Linked DNA regions of Astyanax mexicanus. The protein of the gene in region 2 purifies or fractionates together with the protein of the main gene of each other region. This does not show direct contact. Links are inferred from orthologs where the notes say so. Each region holds a gene or a part of one and is shown on either strand. Other genes may lie near its edges.

Evidence for each region.
Region 1: the proteins of transcriptional-regulating factor 1 (region 2) and deoxynucleotidyltransferase terminal-interacting protein 1 purify together in Homo sapiens (affinity purification with mass spectrometry; 3 studies listed by BioGRID and IntAct, with this or other methods). This does not show direct contact. The link is inferred for Astyanax mexicanus from reciprocal best matches to the Homo sapiens genes TRERF1 and DNTTIP1.

Annotation. Positions count from the first base shown.
Region 1 is NC_064412.1:6,321,764-6,334,390, forward strand, and holds the start of deoxynucleotidyltransferase terminal-interacting protein 1, read right to left. Parts: upstream 6,135-12,627; 5' UTR 5,786-6,134; coding exon 5,711-5,785; intron 5,207-5,710; coding exon 5,136-5,206; intron 5,011-5,135; coding exon 4,914-5,010; intron 4,669-4,913; coding exon 4,570-4,668; intron 4,162-4,569; coding exon 4,096-4,161; intron 2,939-4,095; coding exon 2,882-2,938; intron 1-2,881. UniProt on the Homo sapiens protein: Increases DNTT terminal deoxynucleotidyltransferase activity (in vitro). Also acts as a transcriptional regulator, binding to the consensus sequence 5'-GNTGCATG-3' following an AT-tract.
Region 2 is NC_064421.1:17,469,088-17,481,436, reverse strand, and holds the start of transcriptional-regulating factor 1, read right to left. Parts: upstream 5,071-12,349; 5' UTR 4,916-5,070; intron 4,784-4,915; 5' UTR 4,731-4,783; intron 1-4,730.

The DNA.
Region 1 (12,627 bases), on a different chromosome or scaffold from region 2:
TGTTAGGGGTATATGGCTCTTTAAATTATGATTTTTTCAGAGGCACACTCCAAACAGAGTTATGAGAAATCAGTAGAAGGTACTGCTAGTACAAGCAACCAAAAATATACAAGATTAGACCACTATATTACCATATTGTAATGTGTAGTTTGATGTTTTATGGCCATTTCCTTATAACAAGCTTTAAAAAAAAATACACTGATAGTATGTCTCTGTAGATAGCAGAGGCCGATCATTTCAGATGAATTAAATTTAAGATAAATTATTTCAGCTGCCTATAACAAAGGAATTAAGGCTTGGACAATAAAATGAATTACTGTAACTCCTGCCTCTTTCTGAAGACATACAATAAAATACGCGCCAACATTAACAATACAGTCCAGCAGCAGCTATCACCTCAGCCCAGCAAGGTCTCCTACATGTTCTCTGTTCTAAGAGGAAGGGTTACATAAAAAAAAAAAAAAAAAAAAAAAAAAAATTGGGGTACAGATCAGAAATGGGATTGGGCCTAAGTGTCACTGGACATAAAACTTTAGTTTCATATTCTGGATTAAGACCTTGTCTTTACAGGAAACTAAACTGATTTAGATATATACAGTGCCCTCCATAATTATTGGCACCCCTGGTTAAGATGTGTTCTTTAGCTTCTCATAAATTGAGTTTTGTTCAAAATAATATAGGACCACGATGGAAAAAAAGAGTAAAATACAACCTTTAACTCGAGTGAATTTATTCAGTAGGAAAAAAATCCCACATTAAGAAATAATTATTTAACATCAAATCATGTGTGCCACAATTATTAGCACCCCTGATGTTAATACTTTGTACAACCCCCTTTTGCCAACAAAACAGCACCTAATCTTCTCCTGTAATGTTTCACAAGATGGGAGAATACAGAAAGAGGGATCTTTGACCATTCCTCTTTGCACATTCTCTCTAAATCATCCAACGACCTGGGTCCTCTCCTCTGCACTCTCCTCTTCAGCTCACCCCACAGGTTTTCAATGGGGTTGAGGTCTGGGGACTGAGATGGCCATGGGAGGAGCTTGATTCTGTGTGCGGTGAACCATTTCTGTGTAGATTTGGCCACATGTTTAGGGTCATTATCTTGCTGAAAGACCCAGTGACGACCCATCTTCAGCTTTCGGGCAGAAGCCACCAGATTTTGTTTTAAAATGTCCTGGTATTTTAGAGCATTCATGATGCCATGCACCCTAACAAGGTTCCCAGGGCCTTTAGAAGAGAAACAGGCCCACAGCATCACTGATCCCCCGCCGTATTTCACAGTGGGCATGAGGTGCTTTTCTGCATACTCAGCTCTTGTGTTACGCCAGACCCACTTAGAGCATTTGTTGCCAAAAAGCTCTATCTTTGTTTCATCTGACCAAAGCACACGGTCCCAGTTGAAGTCCCAGTACCGCTTAGCAAACTCCAAACGTTTGCGTTTATGATTGTGAGTGAGAAATGGTTTCTTCCGTGCATGCCTCCCAAACAGCTTGTTGGCATGTAGATAGCGCCTGATGGTTGTTTTGGAGACTTTGTGACCCCAAGAAGCTACCATTTGTTGCAATTCTGTAACAGTGAGCTTTGGAGAACTTTTTATTTCTCTTATCATCCTCCTCACTGTGCGTGGTGGCAAAATAAACTTGCGTCCTCGTCCAGGCTTGTTTACCACTGTTCCAGTTGTTTTAAACTTCTTAATAATTCCTCTGACAGTAGATATGGACAGGTGTAGGCGAGTAGCGATTTTCTTGTAGCCATTGCCTGACTTGTGAAGGTCAACACACATCTGCCTCACTTGAATGGTATGTTCCTTTGTCTTTCCCATGTTGAAGATAAATGGCCTCTGTGTCACGTCATATTTATACCCCAGGGAAACAGGAAGTTGTGAATTACTAATTAAATGTTCCTACATACTCTGATCAACGTAAACTACTGTAGAAGTGACAGAAATACTTTTATTACATTTATTTCCTAAGAATTGTTAGGGGTGCCAATAATTGTGGAACAGGTGATTTTATGAAGAATAATTATTTCTTAGTCAGGGATTTTATTTCCCCCTTAAAATTTACTTGAGTTAAAGGTTGGACTTTACTTTTTTTTCCCATCGTGGTCCTATATTATTTTGAACAAAACTCAATTTATGAGAAGCTAAAGAACACATCTTAACCAGGGGTGCCAATAATTATGGAGGGCACTGTATATATATCTAAATATGGTTGATGATAACTCTATATTAAGTGAGCATGGTATGGCCATGAATTTTGATTAGGTGTGTAACAGTGTGTGTACTGGAGTGTGTGTGTGTGTGTTGCAGAAACTGTAGTGGAATTACAGGAATCATTAGGGTTTTTTATCTCTTACTGTTAATCCCTACTTTCATTACACAATGCTATCATGTGGTTATTGATGTTATGACTCATATTGTTCGGCCAAATAGTGAAATGACAAAATAATTTTAAAATGACTTAATTTGCGTTGCTTGTCTGTTTATTTAAATATCGCAGTGTTTCCTCTAATTTTAGGATTTTTTATTTTAGCCCCCCTTTTCAACCCTGGTCCTTAGCAGCGCTGCATATCAGAGCGCTGCTATTTATAAGTATGCAGTAAGCCATGGACAAGGATTAATGAACTTAATGCGGAATCATATTTCCCAAGTGGAAGTTCCTACCATTTGTTTTTTGGGTGTTGTCTAAAGCAAAATAATAATAAACAGCAAATATACACATAAAAAAAACACATTTACAGAAAAAAACATGTAATACTGCCCCAGTTTGAGAACCACTGGTTTAGATTAATGCTCAAAGTTTACAATGTTCAGAATATAAAATCAAGTCTTATGATTTATAATTACAATAACCAACTTTATTACTGAGCCTACCTTTTTTGGGATGGGGCTGCCTCTCTGACTGGACTCATCCTCAATCTGCCGTGAGCGCTGCGGAACAGACAGAAACTTAACCCAGGACAGTCACTAACATTGGAGGCTGAACTCCACAGATTTCATGGAATGACTTTAATCAGAATATTGTCATGGTAATGCAAAAACCTCTCATCTCTCAGGAGCAGCACAAAACTTCTTAGCTTAACTTAACTTCTTAAATAAAGTCAATGTTAAAAAAATTTACAAAATTTTATTCCAAGTACCGTATTTTACAGACTTTAAGGTACACCGGATTATAGGGTGCACTATCAATAAACGTCTATTTTCTGCTCTATTATCATACATAAATCACACCGGATTATTAGGGGTATTAAGCGACACTAGTAAGAATGCCTACACTGAAGTGAGCAAAGCTATCACCATGTTTCCCTTCTAATTCAGAAGGTCTTGCTGTTGGAGGCGCCTAAGTAACAAAACTGTAAATAAAATAAAATAAAAAACTTTTACAAAAGCAAACAAGCACTGGATGTTAATCTACACAGATTTCTCTCTTAAAACTGTTTATTTGTGTGAGTAAAGCACTTCTGCTTATTTATAGTAAGCTTACATTGCTAAAATTTTGTCCAAAGGTGAGCACTAGCCCCGGTTAGCAGCGCTAGTCAGCCACAGTTAGCGCTAATAAATGCTGTCTGATAGCACTAGACTAAGGAAGCCTGAGTGTTCCGGTAACCCAGGTTACTATCAGCTAGTGGTTCGTCCCACGTAGCTTGTTTTAACAAGGCAAACACACGCAGACTACAGTCCGATATACTCGCTTCTGAACGATGAGAGAACTAGAGCTGCGATTAGCAGCTAATGCTAATGCTGCTGCACCTAGCCTTAGTGCTGGAGAAACTTAACTGAAAACTCACACTTATAACGCTGTACATCAGCAGAGTGGATTTACTGCTCCGTAATTATAAGATGCACTGTCGATTTTTGGGAAAATTAAAGGATTTTAAGTGCGCCTTAAAGTCCAAAAAATACCCTAATTTTGGGGCATCTCTGTTAACTCATTCTTCCTCAAATTTTACACACTGTTAAAGAACAACTGTCAGATTTAAATGAAGATACAGGGGGTTTCATGGCAGTAATGATATGATGAAACTTTGAGACAAACCGATAACAATAACAGATTCAATTCAGATTTAGCATTACTGGTTGATCCTTACCTTCACTGCTGGATCGAAAACTGGTCTTTGGACAGTTTTCTCTGTTTCAGGAAAGAGCTGTTTTGCCTAGATAAGTAAAATTACACAAATTTAGCCACAAGTCACCTTTTAACTTTTAATAACAACAAGTTATTACTAGTTTTATCCCATTTTCTCCCCAATTCGGAAGGACAATAAGCTCGCTTGTAACCTTGTAACTCCCCAAACACTAGGATGGTAAAGACAAGCACAAGACTAGTCTTCTCTGATACATGTGAATCCAGACTCCGCCTCCTTTCCAGATGTCGCTGCTGCAGCATCACTAACAGCTAACAGACACCTTGCTGACCAGCATTGCACTAGGAGTGATGCCATCTACTGTACCCACCCATATAGAGCATGGCCTATTGTGCTCTCTTGGACTCCGGCTGCTGATGCTCCTTTTTTTTTTTACTTTTAATTACACAGTTACTAGAGCAAAGTTTTTATTCTTACATTTTCCAAGCAGTTCCGACAGGCCTCTTTGATAAGCTGATCCGTCTGCACATCCTCCCCCACATTCTCCTTCACGTTGCTCGCTGCCTTTTCAAAAAACTGCAAAAATGAAAAACATACAACAGTTTGATTCAGATCCTTAATTAGTATTAATGAAATAATGAGTGATGGGTGTTACAGTTTCAATATTGTCTCTTTTAACTGCACTATGTTTAAATAACCCCTCTTGAATTGATGGACATATAAAAATAAAACCATATAGCACAAAAGAGTCAAATAGTCTTAGAAAGAGTCATACTGCAAAAATCAACATTATCAAATTAATTTTTAGGACTAATTGTTACCTTCATATATTTTCTGAAGACGGCCAAAATGTCCTCGTTGAAGCTGGGCTGCAGAACTCTCCGCAAGAGATCCATGGAGATGACAGGATCAGTGTAACTAAGAGAAATAAAAAGACGAGTTACTGACATTTCTATTCCACAGACACACAGAACAGACACAATACTCTTCTATTATTTAAAGCTAAACTATTACAGCACTCAAAAATAAAAACAAGCACCTACCTCACAGTCATCTGTGAGCGTCTACCCCTGCGGTGAACCTGCCTGTGCTTGATCATGATGTTCCACGGGTTCTAGCACACACATAAAATAGAACCAGTAAATAAATCCATCCCAGAAAAGCTCCCAGCAGGCAGTCAGACAGATACACAGACAGATAGACACAGATAGTCAGATAGACAGATAAATAGACAGGTAGCTAAGTCAGATAGGCAGTCAGACTGATAGGCAGACAGACAGATACACAGACAGATAGATAGAAAACAGACAAACAAACACACAGAGATAGATAGATAGACAGACAGACAGACAGACAGACAGATACACAGGCAGATGGACAGATAGATAGTCAGATAAGCAGTCAGACAGATAAACAGACAGGTACACAGAGATAGATAGAAAACAGACAAGCAAACACACATAGATAGATAGATAGATAGATAGATAGATAGATAGATAGATAGATAGAAAAGTGGAGAGACAGGCAGACAGACAGGGGTCGGTTCCTCTGCTCCAGCTGATTCGACCCTTGAACTGCAGAAATGACTCATCAGTTCAGTGAAGCGACTCTGACTCACCACAGACTGAACCTGCTGCTCAGCGACGTCCTGCTGCAGCCAGTCTCTGCGGCCCTCGCTCCTGTGCGCTCCCATCACTGATCACCACTAATCACCAGTGTAAAACACAGATCACCAGCAGAACAGTCCTCTCAGATCCGAGGAACCGATTCACCGAGTTCACAGCGGCTCCCGGGACTCGGACAGACGGACCGCGGGGCTGACTCAACTCTATTCTTTATAAACACAGCGGATTTCGACGATCCAGCGCGGTGTAATAACTAACACTCTTCACTGCATTATTCTCCCAGTTATTATATATTAAACTGCGTATAAAATCCGGCACCGAACGCAGGAAAAACAGAGAATAAACCCGCAGAACGAGCAGCGTCTCTCTCTCTTCCTCATCCGAGCTTCAAAACAGCGAGGCTGCGCTGAAACCAGAGAGCGTCCGTAACCGAGATCACCCACTGCAGAAAGCGCTACGGGTCTGGCTGTATCTCTAGAAAAATTAAAACATGCAGGTAATTTTGTTTTTTTGCAAAATACTTTTTGGTCATGCTTGTAGACCAGCTTGACCATCAAAAAATATGCATTTTGTATATTTTAATTAAATTTGCCTGGTATTTATATAAACGTTATTTTAATTTGTGTGGTGAACATTAAAAGAAGTTTCAGATAAAAAGAACAGGTTTATAAATATTCATATATATATATATATATATATATATATATATATCATTTATATAAATTAGACAAATAAATTCAAATCTATTTGATCAAAAACTCAGAAACATTAACTAATTAGATTTGATCTAAATAATAATAGATTTATCTATTAAATTTATCATTAACTTTATCTAAACAATTAAATAGTTTTTTTTTTATCTGAAAATCGTTAGAACTGAATTTTTAATGTTCAATCTAACGTTTAGGAGTTTAATTCGATTTTCAGATTTGTCCATTTTTCAAGTAATTCAAGGAGGCTTTATTGTCATTCACATCACATGTGGTACAAGAGGTGGAATTAAATTTTGATCTTGTAACACAAATTTGATGGAATTTTCCAACATGCGAAATGCAAAAATTGAAAAAATCAGGATTTTTTTTTTTTTTTAATTTTCCTGAAATTCATATTGTAAGGGGCAGAGACGAAAAAACTAAAATTAGAAAAATGGATTAAAACTTATTTCTTGTACACTGCACTACTTTTTGGATTTAGCCTCAAACCGTCAGAACAATAAATTAATAAACATTACATTGACATTCAATCCTGGTCATTTTAAATTTCCCCTACTAATTACTAAATACTAAAACATAAAACTATGAAATATTCTATTAAATATTTCAAATCAAATTTACAAAATGCTGATTCAAACACTCAATAGCAAAGAGCTTAACCAGCTTAAAATTTTTCAACAGGGTACTTTTATTTTACCTTCGAAAATAAATAGAATATCCCAGACAATCAATGAATACTGAATTGTAGCCATTTATCTCCATTTACCTATTTATTGAGGTCTCACTCGCGGGCTCTCTCTAGTGGTTACAGTCATTTCCTGATTTAAAGCTGTAAAGTATGGAGTGTGCAGGCTCTGCTGTAAACCAGCTGAGGTCAAATTACTTCAGAACACACATCCGGTTGACCGGCGTCAAAATAAAAGCCGTGGCAGCGCCGCGCATGCGCACAGCCCATCGTGGGCGTGGCTGCGAGACGAGGCTGTTTGTATCGGTTGAGCCGCCATTACTGTTGTGGCACTTTTGAAGCTTCTGGTAGAAAACAGTTACAGAGTGGAGTTTTTTTTAGGGTTTAGCAAAAGATTTGACTTAAAAATGCTGAAACAAAACTAAATAAATGTAATTCAGTAATAAATGTACTATAATTCATATTTTTTTAAAGGTTTTAACAGTGTTAAAGAGCTTTGCAACGACTAATTAGCAGTTTTATAAGATAACTAGATAGTCAGATCAACAGATAGACAGACAGATAGTCAGACAGATACAGAGAGAGATAGATAAGCAGACAGACAGGTAGATATACACAGATTGCCAGATAATCAGACAGAAAAGACTGATATACAGACATACAGACACAGACAGGTAGATAGATATACACAGATAGTCAGATAGATAATCAGATTGATGTACACAGACAGATGTCATTAAGGTTAAAGTTACTGTTTTAGAGAAAACAGATTTTTTACATGGGTCCTTTTTTCTGCGGATTTTATTTTAGCGACATATCAATCACCCCTACCTTGAAGGGTTCTTAACTTTATAGACAATAGTTATAGAATCATATACAATTACTAATCAATCAAGCACCCAAAGAGTAACATTAAACCTTTCGACTCTTTAAAAACATTATATTTTCCTGAGACTCAGACCAAAAAATAAATTTGAGCTTTTTATAGTAAACAAATAACATAGTTTCATATGTAAAACTGGATTAGAATTTTTTACCTGGTCCATGTTTCTTTCTGGACTGGCTGTAGAAACTTTAGACTGGGATTCCCACCATCTTGTTCTCAGTCAACTTAGTGTAAGGTTGTCATGTGACCACTAGATGGAAAATGCAGTGTCTTCATATAAGGCTAAAAAGGATACTTAAAAAAAAAAAAATTAAGTATCATGGTGCAAAAAAGCAGAAATGTAATGTCCCCATATGAGGACACAGGGATGTAAGATTATTTCTGCTAAGAGTGTGCCATTAAAAAAGATAAATAAATAAATGAATAAATAATGGAAGTACACAGAGGATACATGGTGTCAATAGAGTTTACTGAGAGCCAAACTGACCCAGATGTTTATCTTCATATTGATTCAGAAGATGAGAAATGCCACAACATTGATAATATACAGGAAGAGGAAACTAACGATTTAAGCACAAATATTATTTACATTCAATCCATCTCTGTCCATCAAAATTAGGAGGGGGGGGGGGGGGGGGGGGCAATGACATTCATGGTGCTTTAAATCCAATAAAACAAACAAATGCAAGAACAGTGTGACAGGGTAAAATCAATCAATCGAGATACAGACGGGAATATATGCAAAACCATCAATAAAGACCCATATGACAAAGCAGACAAGCTAACGCTAAAATGAAGCTACTTGTAATTATTTGTGATTGTGAAGAATCTGATCATGCAGAAAACAAAGAAATCATCCCAACAAAACAAACAAAAAGGAGACTTCTATAAAAATAACGAGTCATTTGCTGGTTACACTATTCATTACTGCTCATACACAACTCTACTTTTACATACAAGATAAATTTCTCCTCTTTAGTTATCACTTTGGTTTAGTTTTAAAACGACATATTTTTATAAATCGTAGAATTCATAAACAGATTTGTTTAAAAAAAATGTTAAATTAAAACAAATAAAAAGCATGGAGAAGACATGTACAATACTCTTTTCCCCCGTAAAAGCTCACAAAAAGACCAAAACAAACAAATAATAATTATAATAATAATAAAATAAAATAAAAACATACTTCATAATGCTTTTCTATACAATATCTACAGTTTTGCTGGTGACGGAAAAACACCCAGGAATGAGAAAATCCATCTGGTGTTCGATGCTGTAAAATGAGCAATTCAGAGGATGATGAGAGTTTAAACAATGTGGATGTTATGGTTATGAATCTATATATATATATATCTTTTTGTTTGTTTTAATGTCAGACAGGAGGTACACATAAACCGTTTCCTCAAGAATTTTGATGATGTTACAATTCATTACTTACAAAAAACTAATATTATTATAATAATAATAAAAAAAATAAAAATAATAAAAAAGAGAAACACAAATAAAGGAAACAAACAAAAAAAATAAGACAGGTATATATAAAGGGATGTGACAATATACACAACAGATATAGAAGATAAAATAAAATAAAATAAAAGAAGATACTACATATAAGCATACAGGATCCCTCAAAACAAAAAACAAAACAATCATACACATTAGTGTGCTACTAACTGCAACAAACAGAGCCAAATATAATCAACAAATTTAATAAATTTAACAATTTCAACAATTTTAACAAGAAGTCTCTCCTCGTCTACCTCCTCTTTCTTTTCTTTTATTTTCTTTCTTTCTCTCTCTCCATGTTTCTTCCCCCCCGCTATTTAATTTACATTCAATATGCTGCCCAGTGATCAGGATTAATCTCGTTCTGGAGTAAACAAACAAATATTGGACATATATTTTTTTAACATATCTGTAACATCGGCAGATGAAACAGGTACTCTGCACTGTACTGAAGTACTCAATCATCTGAGGACTAAATAATGAAGAAGAAGAAGAAGAAGAAGAAAGAGTGCTGGAACTGACTTAAAAACATGGATGAATGACAATCTACTGTAAAGGAGAAATCCGGTGTGAAATGGAGTTGGGTTGTAGTGAAACATAAAAACAAAGAAAACATTTTAGTTAAAAGAGCCTGCCTCTATTAATCCCCAGCATTCTGAAATACAGCTTACAATGCTAGTGAATGGGGGCATAGATTTGCCCACAATTTTTTACACCATTAACAAGCTCAAAATAGCTCCTCACTTCATAGGTAAAATTCTGAAGACCCTCACATCTAAAATGAGGCACTGAGAGCTGTGAAATCCTAAAATGAAGTCAGGATATGGCGACCGACAAGTCACTGAATACTAAGAGAAGGTACTGCTTGTATAAACAGTGTTTTTAATAACCTATCTGTGTACTTTTCCTCAATCCTCAGTCTCTCATTGCCTCGTTTTAACCTCTTCAGACCTGAATTACATTCCAGTGATTAAAAATATTTATTATTTTTATATATTGTATTTTTATAAGTTATAAAAATATTATAAGTTATTTGCAGTTAAATAATTTGTTAAACATTGTTTTTTTATTTTATATAACTTTTATATAACTTTTTAGTTTCCCAAATCATCCCTAAACAGTCAAAATAACTCATAACATGATTTTTTTTTTCTTCTTTTGTTCAAAGCAGTGGGCGGGGCTAAGGTGAAGCTAAGGTTTTTGGTTGGCTGATAAATGTCAATTCTGTTGGACAACAAACCTCAATCTGTATAAAGCCCAAATTTTATTTCTGCATAGAACCTACACTGTAGCCTACGCATATCCAGCGAGAGTGCACTATACAGCAGAACATGTTTATACTTCTGTGTGCGCGTATCAGTCGCTCTGCAGTTTAAACCGCGAAGCCGGGAATGTGTAGACAGGGACATGAGGCCTGGTGGACCAATCACAGCTGTCCACGTTGCATATTTACATTTCCAGAGAGGTGCCCGTCGAGCTACGGCGTAGCGTACACAGCGCTGCATAGGCTGCGGTGTAGGTTCTATGCAGAAGTATGATGGAAAGAAGTATAATATTTTAAATGTAGGAATACCAAAAAATATGAAGAGAGATGTTGTCCATTGCAATGGACACAGGGTCTAAAAAGGGTTAAATGTCAGGATTTTCAGTAAAGAAATCTAACCGTGAAGTGTGGAACTACTTTAAGTTTTTTAATGGTGTAAAAATAGTGATTTCTTTGCATGGTTAACGCTATGCCCCCTTCACTAGCATTGTAAGTCTGTTGGGAGCATCGGCTTTTAGCACTGTATTTCTTAATGCTTACGGAGAATGGAGGTGGGCTATTAGATAAAAGATCATACTCATCATCATGTTTCACTATATACAACTCCAGTGCATTTCACACCGGATTTCTCCTTTAACTCTAGCTCTAATTGTAACGTTTAACTATTGCTTGCTCTTGTAAGCTTCACAGATGAGAGGTAGACTCAAAGAGAAGCGGGGTGGCCTAACATGACTGAAAGCTGTTTATAATATTTAGTAACAAACAGCTCTGAAATGGCTCTAAACAAACATCCACACATTATGCGGACATGAAACCTGTTTCTTTTCTTTTCTTTTGTCTAAATGGAGCTCCGATGATTCTGCTGTTTGTCACAGAAAGACAAAAAGATACCAAAAGATACCAAAAGCTCTCGCAAGCACATATTTTACAGCTCAAAAGATAGAGAGAACAGAGGAAATAGTGATCTGTTTTTCTACTAAACTAAGTTTAGTACTAACTATGCCAGTTGCATTTGTTACGTTCTATCCTCTGTGCATTTGTTATTAACAAAGGTAAACTGAAGCGTGGAACTGATTTACAAACATACGTGCATACAGCCGTGTCTGTCTAAAAACTGACCTTTTCTTTTCTTTTCTGTTCTTTTTTAGGGCGATAAGGAACCACACAGACCAAGCCTGGACTCCTAGACACCAAGGATTGATTTTCTTTCGGCATCTTATTCCAGAAAAGGGAGCACTGGGGCTTGCACAGGCATTCAGAGGAGCTTCTACATCTTCTAAAGATGAGCGTTGAACGTAAAAAGGAACTGGCTCTAGCACAGGTAGTAATAATTAATAACTACGCACAAGGACTACAACTACTCTGTAATGTGCATCATATCTTAAAGGCTTATAAACATAGCTGCCTACTTGCTGGTCCACCTCCGTTCTGTTGCCATAATAATAATAATAATAATAAAAATAAAAAAATAACATCCAAAAAAATCCTAGAGAGCAGTGCCCTCCATCCTCTACCCCGACAGTCCCACGACTCTGTCAGGGAGCAAAGCACGAAGTTAAAAAGGCAGAAGAAAAGAAGGACTTGACCAGAATCACCACGTCTTATACAGATGACAACGGTAACAACAACAACGAAATGTAAGAATTAGTGACCGAACAATCACTACATCATTAAAAAAAACAAAAACGAACGAAACAAAAACTAAACCCCTCAATAACTAGGACAACATTAATAATAAAAACCCAGAATAACTCTTTAAATAGTTGAGGCAGAGAAAAGTAAATAGGTGCGAGTCACTCGCTCCAGCTCTCTCGTTCTCCTGCTCTCTCTCTCTCTCTCACTCGTTCTCTCTCATG
Region 2 (12,349 bases):
TCAGTAAAGTCACACCATGACTCAGTCTGAGACTTCCTCTCTCACCCACACTCTAGAATATGTATGTAATTCAGCTATGCGCCATCTTATCATTTCCTGTCACATGAGCTGTTTTCATAGTGGCCTGCCACTTTTTTTATCTAGCCTTCTTCGAAAAAAGAAAAAAAGATAAAGTATATGTTCATCAATGTTCACAGGCCTTATTGTATACCGTAAACAAACCACCAATAAGGTTTTGAAAGCTTGTCATATGCATTTTAGTTATTAGTGTCCAGCATGAATTATTTAATGTTTAATTTCTTATACCCTCCACTTTTAGTGATCAGTATACAGTCTAACATATTTTTGAATATTAGATTATTAGATTCTTCTTAGTAGAAGTTCCAACACTGGATTTAGAACAAGGTGAATAACGTATAAGTTATTGAGTGTTATTGGGCTGTGGTGTGAATCAGATATAAAGTGAGTGTCAGAAACTCAAGTGGCCTTTGTGGTTTTGAGAGTTTCCATCCTCAACTCGCTCTGGTGAGTGACTAAATGAATGTCATTGCCTTCAACCAGTTAGTATAAAAGCAACCGTTCCAACTGACCTATATAGATATATATTACAATAAATACAAGCAGCAATTTTACAAAAAGCAGTGCTTTTACAGCATTGTTTTTCTTAAAACATATTTTTATCTCTTCTCATCTGAGTTTAATAGATTCCTTGTTACGTTTTACTGTATCTATGTATATTTGCATCTGTTCAAATCATATGTGTTGCATTTTTCAGGTAAAAACACTCATTTTGCTGATATATATATATATATATATATATATATACGTATATATATACGTATATATATATATGTATATATATATATATACGTATATATATATATATATAGATATATATATATATATACGTATATATATATATATATATATATATATATATATACACACATATATATATATGTGTGTATATATATATATATATATATACACACACATATATATATATATGTGTGTGTATATATATATATACAGTATATAGACCAAAAATAAAAAAGGGTTAAACAAACCAGAATAAATTTTATATTTTGGATTCTTCATTTTCTTAGCCAGTTTCATGAGAAAGAGTCGCCTGGAATGGCTTTCAGTTAACAGTTAACTTGTCAAGAGTTAATTACTTGAATATATTGCTCTCTTAATGTGTTTAAGAGGATCAGTTGTAGAGGTTGTGAAGAGGTAGTAAATAGCTCTATTTGTGTAATGTTTTAATCCATGTTATGGCAAAAACTACTCAACTAAGTAAAGAATAAAAGTAATGAAGGTCAGTCAGTCTAAACTTTTTTATGAATTTTAAAAGTATCCACAAGTGGAGTTGTGATCAGATTCTAAACATGCTGTAAAACAGCTGTGGAGTGCTGGAGCTTCAGCCAATGTCTTAAGGATATGTCTTAAACCATAATTAATCATCCATTAGCACCCTTATTTTAGCACAGTTGACTCCAAAAGCAACTCTGGTGGAGCAAGTGTCTGCAAACATCAAACTATGTAGAATTAATCATCACCGTTGATGATGAGTGCAACTGTACTTTTCTCCCTAATAACATTGCAATGCGACAATTTTTTCTGGGTGTAACAATATTTTTGTTAATGATTGTATACTCTATCACAAAAAAACGGCAATTTTCCATCCCATGCAGCTCAAATATTCGTCCACATTTTTTTGCAGATTTTGCAGTAGATTGGAGAGTTAATAATGCGCCCAAGAGCATCACACACATTTTTAATCAGGAATAGGTCTGGCCATGGCAAAGGATCTGTGTCGTCAGGGCGAGCTTTTGAGACGTCTGCATTGTGAGGATAAACATTGCCCTGTTGGAGTAGTGCACCAGAGTGTGCATTCAAAAAAGGTTGACCACAGGCTGCAGGACCTTATTAACTGCTAAACTTATTGTTCTATCAAAGTGTCTGTAATAAAGACCAAAGGTGATCTGAAATCATTTGAATGTGCACCCCACTCAATAACACCAGTTCCCAGGCCCTCTGGACATGTGACTTGTAACAACAAATTGTGCATCTTTGCACTGACCACAGTGCCTACCCACACGCGGATTGTTTGTTTGTTTTGTTTTGATGATACAGTGCTATTTTGAGTCACTTCATGACAATCTGGCATGACATCATTGCAGTCTTCTGAGATGTTGACATGGGTGTTAAGGGCAGTCATCGTAATGGTCTGCATGCATGTCGTTCTGCATTGTGCAGCCGTCTGCCAAGGGTGCTGACACTAACAGGATGACTCATGGAGGGCATCACTGCTTGCTGAATGTCCGCAATTAAACCTGTTGGTTTACTCTGTACAGTACAGTAGTTTATTTACAGTTTTTATTACCCCAGTATATTTAGTAAGAGACTGCATCCCAATTGCATCCCTAGTAAAATAATATTAATAATGCAAGTTTGGCAGGTTAATATACAAAATATTAATGCTTTAGCTTTTTGTACCAAAAGGAATTAATGGAGCCTTTGCTACGCCAACATACATCACTGCAAGATTTCCAGACGCCATTGCTGCTGCACTTTCCTCATCACTGCCATTTTTCCTAATGTTGTTTCAGAAGTAAGTAGATCCCCCCTTTCCTCTTCTCATTGCATTGTGGGATAGTAGTGCCCATCATAACTACATTAAAAAAATAGAGGCTTTGGCTATTCATTGTGGATATTTGAGTAAATGTTTACACTTTTGTCTACAGTTCATACACAAAGACTAGTTAACATTAGTTTATAGTAATTACTACGCAGATGGAATGCACCCTGAGACATCCAAGCTTCATTAATTTAGAGTTTTTAAGTCTTTAAGTTTTATTTTTTTTTCCCAGCGTGAAATGCCTGATGAGAACCTTTCACTGGCCATACAAACGTTCAGCATATGAACATAATGATAATTAAAGATAACAATTACTTATAAAACTATATACCACAAGTGTATATAAACACATTAACTAAAGTGCATAATCAGAAATGATTTCTTATGGATACAGGTCAATTAATTAAGTCATTTTTTTTATTTTGCCTATGAAGCATTATACTAAATACTTAAACTAAATAACATAGTTCTCAGGTGGCTTTTGTACAGTAATGTGTATATATTAATAGTTAATTAGCAAAAAATAGATAAAGGTATGTTTAAAAGTAGTATGGGTACATTTCTTCAAATGAAACATTTTGCTTGAAAAAAAAAAAACTATTGCAAGCAAGCTACTGTAATACATTTTTGCCACAAATGTTGATGTGCTGTTCTTTGTATTTGTATAATTTAAATACTAGAATAAAATGTATATTGTTTTTCATTATTTTATACACTCAGATTTGAAAAAAAAAACTGTGGCACAGATTAAAGTTGTTCACCACCTTTTTTTAATGATGTCCATTTCATACACTTTTAGCTTTAGTTTTTTGACAGTGTAAATATTTGTGTGTAGAGTTTGCTGATATTTAGTGGAATCCATTTTTCCATAAACTGTGCAGTGTATAGTGTACCACTGGCTGCCATACCACCCAACCCTTAAGAGATCCAGATTCATGCTTGACAGTTGAAAAGGGGTTCATTTAATCAAATTCTGCTTCTTTTGAGACTGTAAGTAAAAGGGTCCGTTTTAAAAACGTCTCACTCACAAGTTTCCTTCAGATAATTCCTTCAGTGGCATGCCCAAAGTCTACTGTTGTGCCTCATGACTTTTTCCAGGTTCCACAGAAGCTAAAGAAAGCTTCACTGACCTACAGGATTTCTGTGTGAGGTCTCCTGCAATTGATGTGAATGTGATTTCTGCCGGAGATGCTTGTCTGTTTGTATGGACAGTTTTAACCATACGTGGCATGAGCTTATTAACCAGTGTTCAGCCTCATTCACAAGAAATTACCTCACAACCAAAGCCATGAGCTGGGGTACCATGACCTTGTTTATTTACTGTACATACTGATTGAATTCAGTATACATAGGTCATTTTTGTTTAAGCAACACTGCACAGTAGAATAGTGTATCACCACTTCGTTTGAGCCCTTCTCTCAGAGTGTTTTCTTGGTGATGCAGATCTTGCTTTGACAGTTCCCCTTAACTGGAGTTTCTTTATGACCTTTCAGTCAGTAAATATTGCGTGCTGGAAGTTTTTATATAATTCCCTTCCTCTTTGTAAGCATACCTTTTCTTTATTGAGGGTTGTACATAGTTACAAAACTTTCCACCTAGAGTGGTGTTTGTATTTTCCACAATTACGATTTTTTGGTATTTACTTGTGAATTAAATATACAGTAATTGTGCACATATAAATATTTTAAATGGTTGAATAAAATTGTACAATTTGTATTATTTGTTAATGTAAATATTAGTTAAAGTTAAATTTGTTTAACTTTAAAAAAGCAATGTTGTTAGGAGGGCCCAGTGCATTAACCTAAATATGATATTAATTAATATCTAGGTCAAGTAATTAGTAATTATGAACTGGACTATTAATTATGAAATACATTTTTAAAATACTGAATTGCTTCTAAATAAATGATAAACATTAAGGGCTATATGCGGTATGTCCACCATATCAATGGGTAAATTGCAGCTTTAACTGTTTAGGGTTTTAGCGTGTACATGTACTGTTGTACTATTGATCATAACTAGTTATTAATGATTATATAACTGTACTATTGCAGTTTACAGAGCACAAATGATAAGTAACAAGTCTTACCTCTTTTTTGTTCTAAATGTGTGGTCCACTCTTTAGCAAGGTCAGTAGAAGTGCTGCAGTAAACACAATACAGTGAACAGATAAACACAACCAGCATGCACACATCATCTAAGAAAATACTGAAGCGTGCAAAGACTGAAAATCTTGTTAGGACATTGGCCAAACAGGGAACTCAACATACTTACTGCTGAGTAAGGAATTCTGCACATCTCCTCTTATAGTAACTGCTATTTCTGATGGCCTTCAGGGGTTCAAGGAAGTTCAGGAAATGCAGACTTATTTCTTTCTATGCTGTGAGGCTTCCTGAGCACAACCGCAAACTATTTTCTCAACCTGTCAAATGTGCTACAAGTGCTGCTCAAGCCCCGCCTGGAAACCTGAATTATGAGAGCTGTGGACAAAGTTATATTACTGTACTTTTCTCAGCTTTGCCAGGAACCATACACGAACGCTACAATGACAAGATTAAACCGCCATATGCATTCACATTCACATTGTTAAAATAAGGAGGTCAACCGTTTTATGCACAAGGCAAATCAACCTAAATAATTGCCCAAATTAATTAGATTAAAAATGGGTCTTTCTAAAGATCATAACTAACCTGAAAAAATAAAAAAACGAATTTATATTGTAAAAAAAAAGTATAAAATAGAACAAGATAGTGCTTCAATCATCATCATAATGAATCAGGCAAGTGCAATACCACTGGTCAATAACTGGCCCTAGTGAAAAGTGGGACTAACAGGAAGTTATGCTAATCTAAGAGCATTTTTACTGAAAGATTGTTGTTGACTTCACATGTTCATCAGTGTGGCAGGAAGTCATTCCAGTCCACTCTCATAGTTTTTGTTTTTATATTCTGTAGCCTATATGTTTCAGAAATGAGTATTCAACTACATGTTTACTTAGAAATGAGAATTGAAGCAGCACTGCATCGCACATCCTGCTAATTTTTTATCTGATCAAAGTAATCACACCTGCCAACCGGCAAGATTTTGTAACTGAATTGCCGCAGAAATTTCTCATCGTATTTTTTTTCATTGTGTTGTATATTTTTTATTTTAAGCCAAGATCTTCTTTGCTAAATATAAAATGTCCATAGTTACCATCTAGTTTTGAGTTATGAGTGCACATTTGGGGAAGTTGTGTATAGCAATACTTCACTCCCACAGCACTTCCTGTGGCTCATCACTACACTGCAACACTTTAAGTCACTGAATATAAATAAACTGGTGTGGTAGATTTTAGTATGTTTAAAGTGATTTTAGATGCACTCATCCTAGAAACTATTCTGATAATCGGAAATGCAAGTGAAAATGCAGTGAAATTTTCTGAAATTTATGTTAATATTAATAATTAATATAAAATAATGGCGTAACCTGAGACAGCTTGTGATAAATCTCAGAATACAAATTGTTTTATTTCCTGTTTTTATTTCCAAAATAATAATGGAAATTTCAGGATTTTCTGCAATATTTTATCTTTGGACATTACAGGGTGACTTTGGGATTCATAAATAGAACAACAATTAAGCTTAAAAATGGCTAGTTATTTAATTAAGATAATGTCTAATGTCTGTGATTGGGGTTTGTGCCTCAGGTTTTGTCAGTGTCTCTTCTGTTTTGTCAAGTATTATAATTATTTGTGACCAGTCAAAACGCTTGTAGCTCATCATTAGCCCACATGGTGGCATTACAACATAAAAGCAAGCCTGATGAGAACAGTAAGATCATGTTAGTCTGAGTTATAGTTGTTCAGTAATGAAATATGACTTTGAAATATAAATATATATAAAGATATGTCCTGTTAGACTATGATAAACCTTCCAGAGGTCAAACATAAGTGCCCAACTGTTAACAAAAACATAGACAGGATAAAAATAATATTTTTCCACTCATATGTCTGGAAACAAAGCTGGTGAGCTGGTTTGTTGTCAGGAACTTATTGTTAAGATCATGTCGAACCTTTTGGCACAAATTACTTTGCTATTTGTTCCAGCATCCACCTCATGGAATATTACTATTATTATTATGCTGATGTGATGAAACGTGGAAACAAAGTGAAACCCATGTCATTCAGTATAAATGATTTACAGGAACACTATGGCAGATTTCCTAGATAACATTCTAACCTGGGACCTGTATAGGCAGCCCAACTGCAACCAGAAAATTTTGTTCACTGGTTTTACATGGGTGTTGGGCCACCATCACTGATTGGACCAGGGGGCAGTAAAGACGGGCCCCGTGTGGGTTTTACATTGCATATGGCACATAGATGGAACCGATGTGTGATTAAGGTGGGTTGTAATGATGGGGTCTATTTTGGACGCTTAACTGGATCCCAGTAACAGCATGTGTACAAACCAACATAAAACCCGTACCCACCTGGAACCTACCTAGCCCATGTTCCAGCGATGTGGAGATGTAGCTGTGCCCTGTACAGTGCTCTCCTTTTTGGGGTTATGACATTCTTTAGTTCTGTCTAAAAAATCTTAGTGCTATAATTAAACGATCAATACTACTTTCATTAATTAAATCACCAATACTTCAACTATAAAAGTATACCTGAACATATAAGACTTATGTGGCTGTATAGTGATTTTTTTTATCAATAATTAATAAGTGGCCTGATCAGAGGATGATGCGCCCCCCCTTGTGAGCCTTGGTTATCCCAAGGTTTCTTGTTCCAGCTCTGTGGGAGTTTTTTTCTTGCCTTTGTTGCTCACTGGGGTTTTATGTTTTATGTTGCTTTTGATTCTCTGTCCTGCTACCCGATTTCTGTAAAGCTGTTTTGCAACATCAGCTATAATCAGAGAAGTATAAAGTACTAAAGTACTTAGACTTGACTAAAACTTCAAGTGCTCTTTCAAAAAAGTGACTTTGAGTAGAAGTTGTAGTGTTCTTTAAGTTCCATACTTGGAGTGGAAGCATTAAAGTATTGAATATGTTGTTTTACTTAAGTATTGCAAGTAGTTTATTAGTTTATAAATGCATTTCTCAAGTACTGAAAGTAAAAGTAAATTACTTTTGTTATGTTGTTATTTCAGAAAGCAGTGGAAAGTTCTCAGAGTGAAAAACAGAACAGCAGCAGTGACTTTTCTTATAAAATTAGCTTGATCACTTGATTTGCTCATTGATGAGCATTTTCATTAAATCTGGTGACAGTGCATACTGGTCACTACTGGACTGGTAGTGAGAATGTGGGTTTGGAATGATTCATATATATAACATTTTTATAATTGTAACGAGTAACGATGCAGGACATAAAAAAATATCAGGCTAAAGGTAATAAACTCATCTAAAATATGTAGTAAAGTAAAAGTGAAAGTGTAAAAAAAGTACTCCAGTAGATACAGATACAGCATTTTACTTCTATACTAAAGTACAGAAATGAAGTAGTTCTCTTTTGTTACTACACTCATCTCGGGTTGTAATTCTGTTTTGTATAATAGTGCATTGTATAGGTTATGAGTTTTCACATGTAGAAATAGTGAAGAGGGGACAGTCTCGGCTACTGCACAAGTTTAGTTTGGGACTGTAGTGTCAGTCAGTGTTGATTGATCTATATAAAAGCAAAAAGCGTTAACCTTAAACTCTTAAAACACAACAGTTTTTGACCCACCAAACTGCTTGTTAGCTATAGGATAAAATAGAGCTCTGGAAAACAATAGGTGACCACTTTAGTTTCTGAATTAGTTTCTCTAATTTTGCTATTTATAGGTATATGTTTGAGTAAAATGATCATTGTTGTTTTATTCTATAAACTGCGGACAACATTACTCCCAAATTCCAAATAAAAATATTGTCACAAAAAAACAAAAAACAGCAGACCTAAGTAAAGATAAGAAAAGGTACAGTAAGGTAAGCTGCCCTGCATGATCTGTGCAGAAGCAGTGAAGTGTGAGGGATGTATGAGCAACAGGCTCTCACACCCAGAAACTACACAGAAATCAGGAAGGGGGCGGGGCCTGGTCTCTCCGCTACCTTCCCCAGACAAGACTCGAAACTGGCAGCCACCTGCGCTTTAGAGAAACAGGGCAGAAAAACAAGGAGATAAAGGAGAAGCCGGCCACCAGGACAGCTTCAGACAGGTCGGTCATTGTCATTCACACCGTTTACTTTAGTTTGTGTGGTAAATTTGAGCTGTCATTAATTATTTAGATGGGGCACAACCTGCCCCTAATTACAGGAAGTTGTGAGGAGGCTGTAAACTCTGTATGTAACTGTGCTCGTGCTCGTGCTCACCCTGAGGTCTCTCACACACTTTTATTACCCCCACAAACGAGGAAAACACACTTTTTCTTCATATGTAGAGCTTTTTGGATGAGTTAAAGGCGTTTAATATTTTTTTACGCAGGCCTCTCTCTCTTCTCTCTCTCTCTCTCTCTCTCTCTCTCTCTCTCTCTCTCTCTCTCTCTCTCTCTCTCTGTCTGTGTGTGTGTGTGTGTGTGTCATTCATCCCCAGCAGATGTAGCTAGGCTGTTTGTGGAAAGTTTCAACACAGAGTTGGGTCATTATAACAATACTCTGAGAGGCTTTTGTCCCTCAAAACGTTCAGAGAACTTTAATTTTAACGTTTTTATTTGTTCAGTTATTATATGTATAAGACTTCAGACTAGGGCTTTATTATATATTATAATGTATTAATTAAATTATAATTTTTAATAGGATAATCGAGAATGTACATCTTTACATATAGAAACTGCCAGAGTGGGTAGGCTTGTGTTTCTGTCAGAAACCTCTAAAGAACCCTGGAAAAAATAAGAGACCACTTAAAATGATGAGTTTCTTTGATTTTACCAAATTAAAAACTTCTGGAATAGAAACAAGAGGAAGATGGATGATCACAAGTCATCAAACTAAGCTGAACTGCTTGAATTGTGAATCCAGGAGTGGCATAAAGTTATCCAAAAGCAGTGTGTAAGACTGATGGAGGAGAACATGCCAAGATGCATGAAAACTTTGATTGAAAACCAGAGTTATTCCACCAAATATTGATTTCAGTACTCTTAAAACTTGTTCATATGAATATGAACTTGTTTTCTTTGCATTATTTGAGGTCTTAAAGCTCTGCATCTTCTTTGTTATTTCAAACATTTCTCATTTTCTGCAAATAAATGCTCTAAACGTCAATATTTCTATTTGTAATTTGGGCGAAATGTTGACTGTAGTTTATAGAATAAAACAACAATGTTCATTTTACTCAAACATTTACCAATAAATAGCAAAATCAGAGAAACTAATTCAGAAACTAAAGTGATTTCTTACTTTTTTCCAGAGCTGTATGTGGCAGTAATTTTCATATTTTACACTTTTTTTCTTCCTGAAACACAACAATGTTATATTTACACTGCATTTAATATAAAAGCTGAATGTAAGGGCCTTCTTACTATTCCTGAAAAAAAAATAATTGTAAAGGAAAATGTAGCTTGTTCATCAGTTTAAATTGTGCTGTCTGTTTATAATTAAAACTGAAAAACATAAAACTGGTTATAATTAACTAAAAATCGTAATGTAGAATGAAGAATTGCTTATATATATATATTCGAGAAATATCGAAAAAAAAATCAATATTGCCCAGCCCTACTTCTGAATATACAGATATCATATCTTCCACGCTCTATCACATTTTTTTCACTTGCATGCATTTGTCCACACTGTCACAGCAAGCTACACAACAGAGTGGACAATTTAGGGACAGTTGGCATCTGATAAAACATAGTTGCACAACAGTTGCAAACGTATTAAACGATTCATTGTATCTTTATTTCACATGTATATATATATAGACAATATGAGAAGTATTAGGTAAAATGAATACTATTAATTGCTGAACATTCAGCATTGTGAATTCAGATAACAATAGTGTACAGGGAATTTTTTGGGGCATAATCTAATAAAAAAAATTAATTATCCAAGGTTTCCTAAAATTCTGTGAGTTAACCCCTTAAAAGAATTATTCAACTTAACCGGGCAGCACAGCAGACGTAGCAAACTCCCAGCCCTAACATAGAAGAAAACTGTATAAAATGACTTGATTTCATTTTGTGCGCATTTTGTGCGCTAGAAAACTAGCAGCTCATTGTATCTGGTTAGAACCCATAAATAAGTTTGTTTCAGCTGTATTCGGGAATGAAGAACACATACATACAAATGTTAAGCCTCTGCAATGGAACAAATAATCAGTTCAATGTAAATTACATCAGCACAATAATTACTTAATTACTATCTGCATATATATTGGGTGATAATTATCATATGATCTTGACCTCGATTGCTTGTATTTATATAAGAATAAGGGAAATAAAAAACTTGAAATATGCAGCAAAACTTTGGCAGTTCCCAAACTATGATTAATTAAAAGTTTATTGTTGTTAAAAAAACAATTATTGCAATTAATTTCTGGGATGATGTATCATCCAAAAAAAGTTATCTTGACTGGCCTCTCTCTATTTATTTTCGTTGGTGACGTTATGTATTTGTGTGAGACTGATGGAAACAAGTCAATTCAATGTAATCAATTATCTTATTTTTTTCAATGTATTTATGGATTGTTTGTTCAAGTCGATGCACTTTGGAATTTTTTGTAAAAACATTAAAAACCTGAAATTTCGAGACCTGGATAAGTTTTGGAAAAATAAATTACCAGAAGATTTCTGTTTATTTACCAAAAGCTATTTGTTTTAAAAAACATAATGTAATATTTGGACAGATCTATCAGGTCACTTTGGGTTAGCTAGCTGGCTGCATGGGGTCCTACTCCGACTGGAGTTTCAGTTTGAACTATAGCTGGACATAATTTTGTACTATAACTGATTGTAAATGCACGCAGTGACAGGTAAATGCTGATTTAAGGCTTTATGGCTTAATTCAGACAAAAATAAAATGCGTAGAAAACATGCAAAATATGCACAAATGTTATACAGCTAGTAAAATATGTGATATATCTACACAGGAGAAAGAGCACTAGCGACACAAACACCAGGCTTCTGTTGTGCGAAATCTAAATCCATTTTTACCCCGATACCCAGTGCGGTGGTGCACTGTGCCACGTGCAGTCCTAACTGTAGATGTACGATGACCGCTAAATCTCGCTTTTCATATAAGCTGTGAATATGGGTGACCGTATTTAGTTTTTTCGAAAAAAGACAGCAGGGAAACATGGATGTCTGCTGTAGTGTTGTCATGTACGTGTACCTATAGAAATGTGGAAGTGTGAGTGAGCTCAGTGTGTGTGTGTGTGTGTGTGTGGGATACGAAAATAGCTGCCCCTAATCACATTTCTTTGTGTACTTTAAAAATAGCTGTTAAAAATAGATTTTAACAAGGAAAGTTAAAATGCCCTTAGATGTACAAATGAAATTACTAGCTTTATTTTACCTTCCATAACATTAGAGGGCGTGCTGCACCAGTGTAGTTTTGTTTATTCAACTTAATTTCAAGATGGCAGTTCCTGGAGAACTACCTAAAGGTACTGTGTGTATAAACAGTGTTTTTTGATAAACCTCCTTTTCACTTTCAAAGCTCTTACTTTTAGTACCTCCTTCAGGGGCCTCATAATTCTACCAATGAAGTGTGGAATTATTTTGAGCTTGTTAATGGTGTAAAAATAGCAAATTC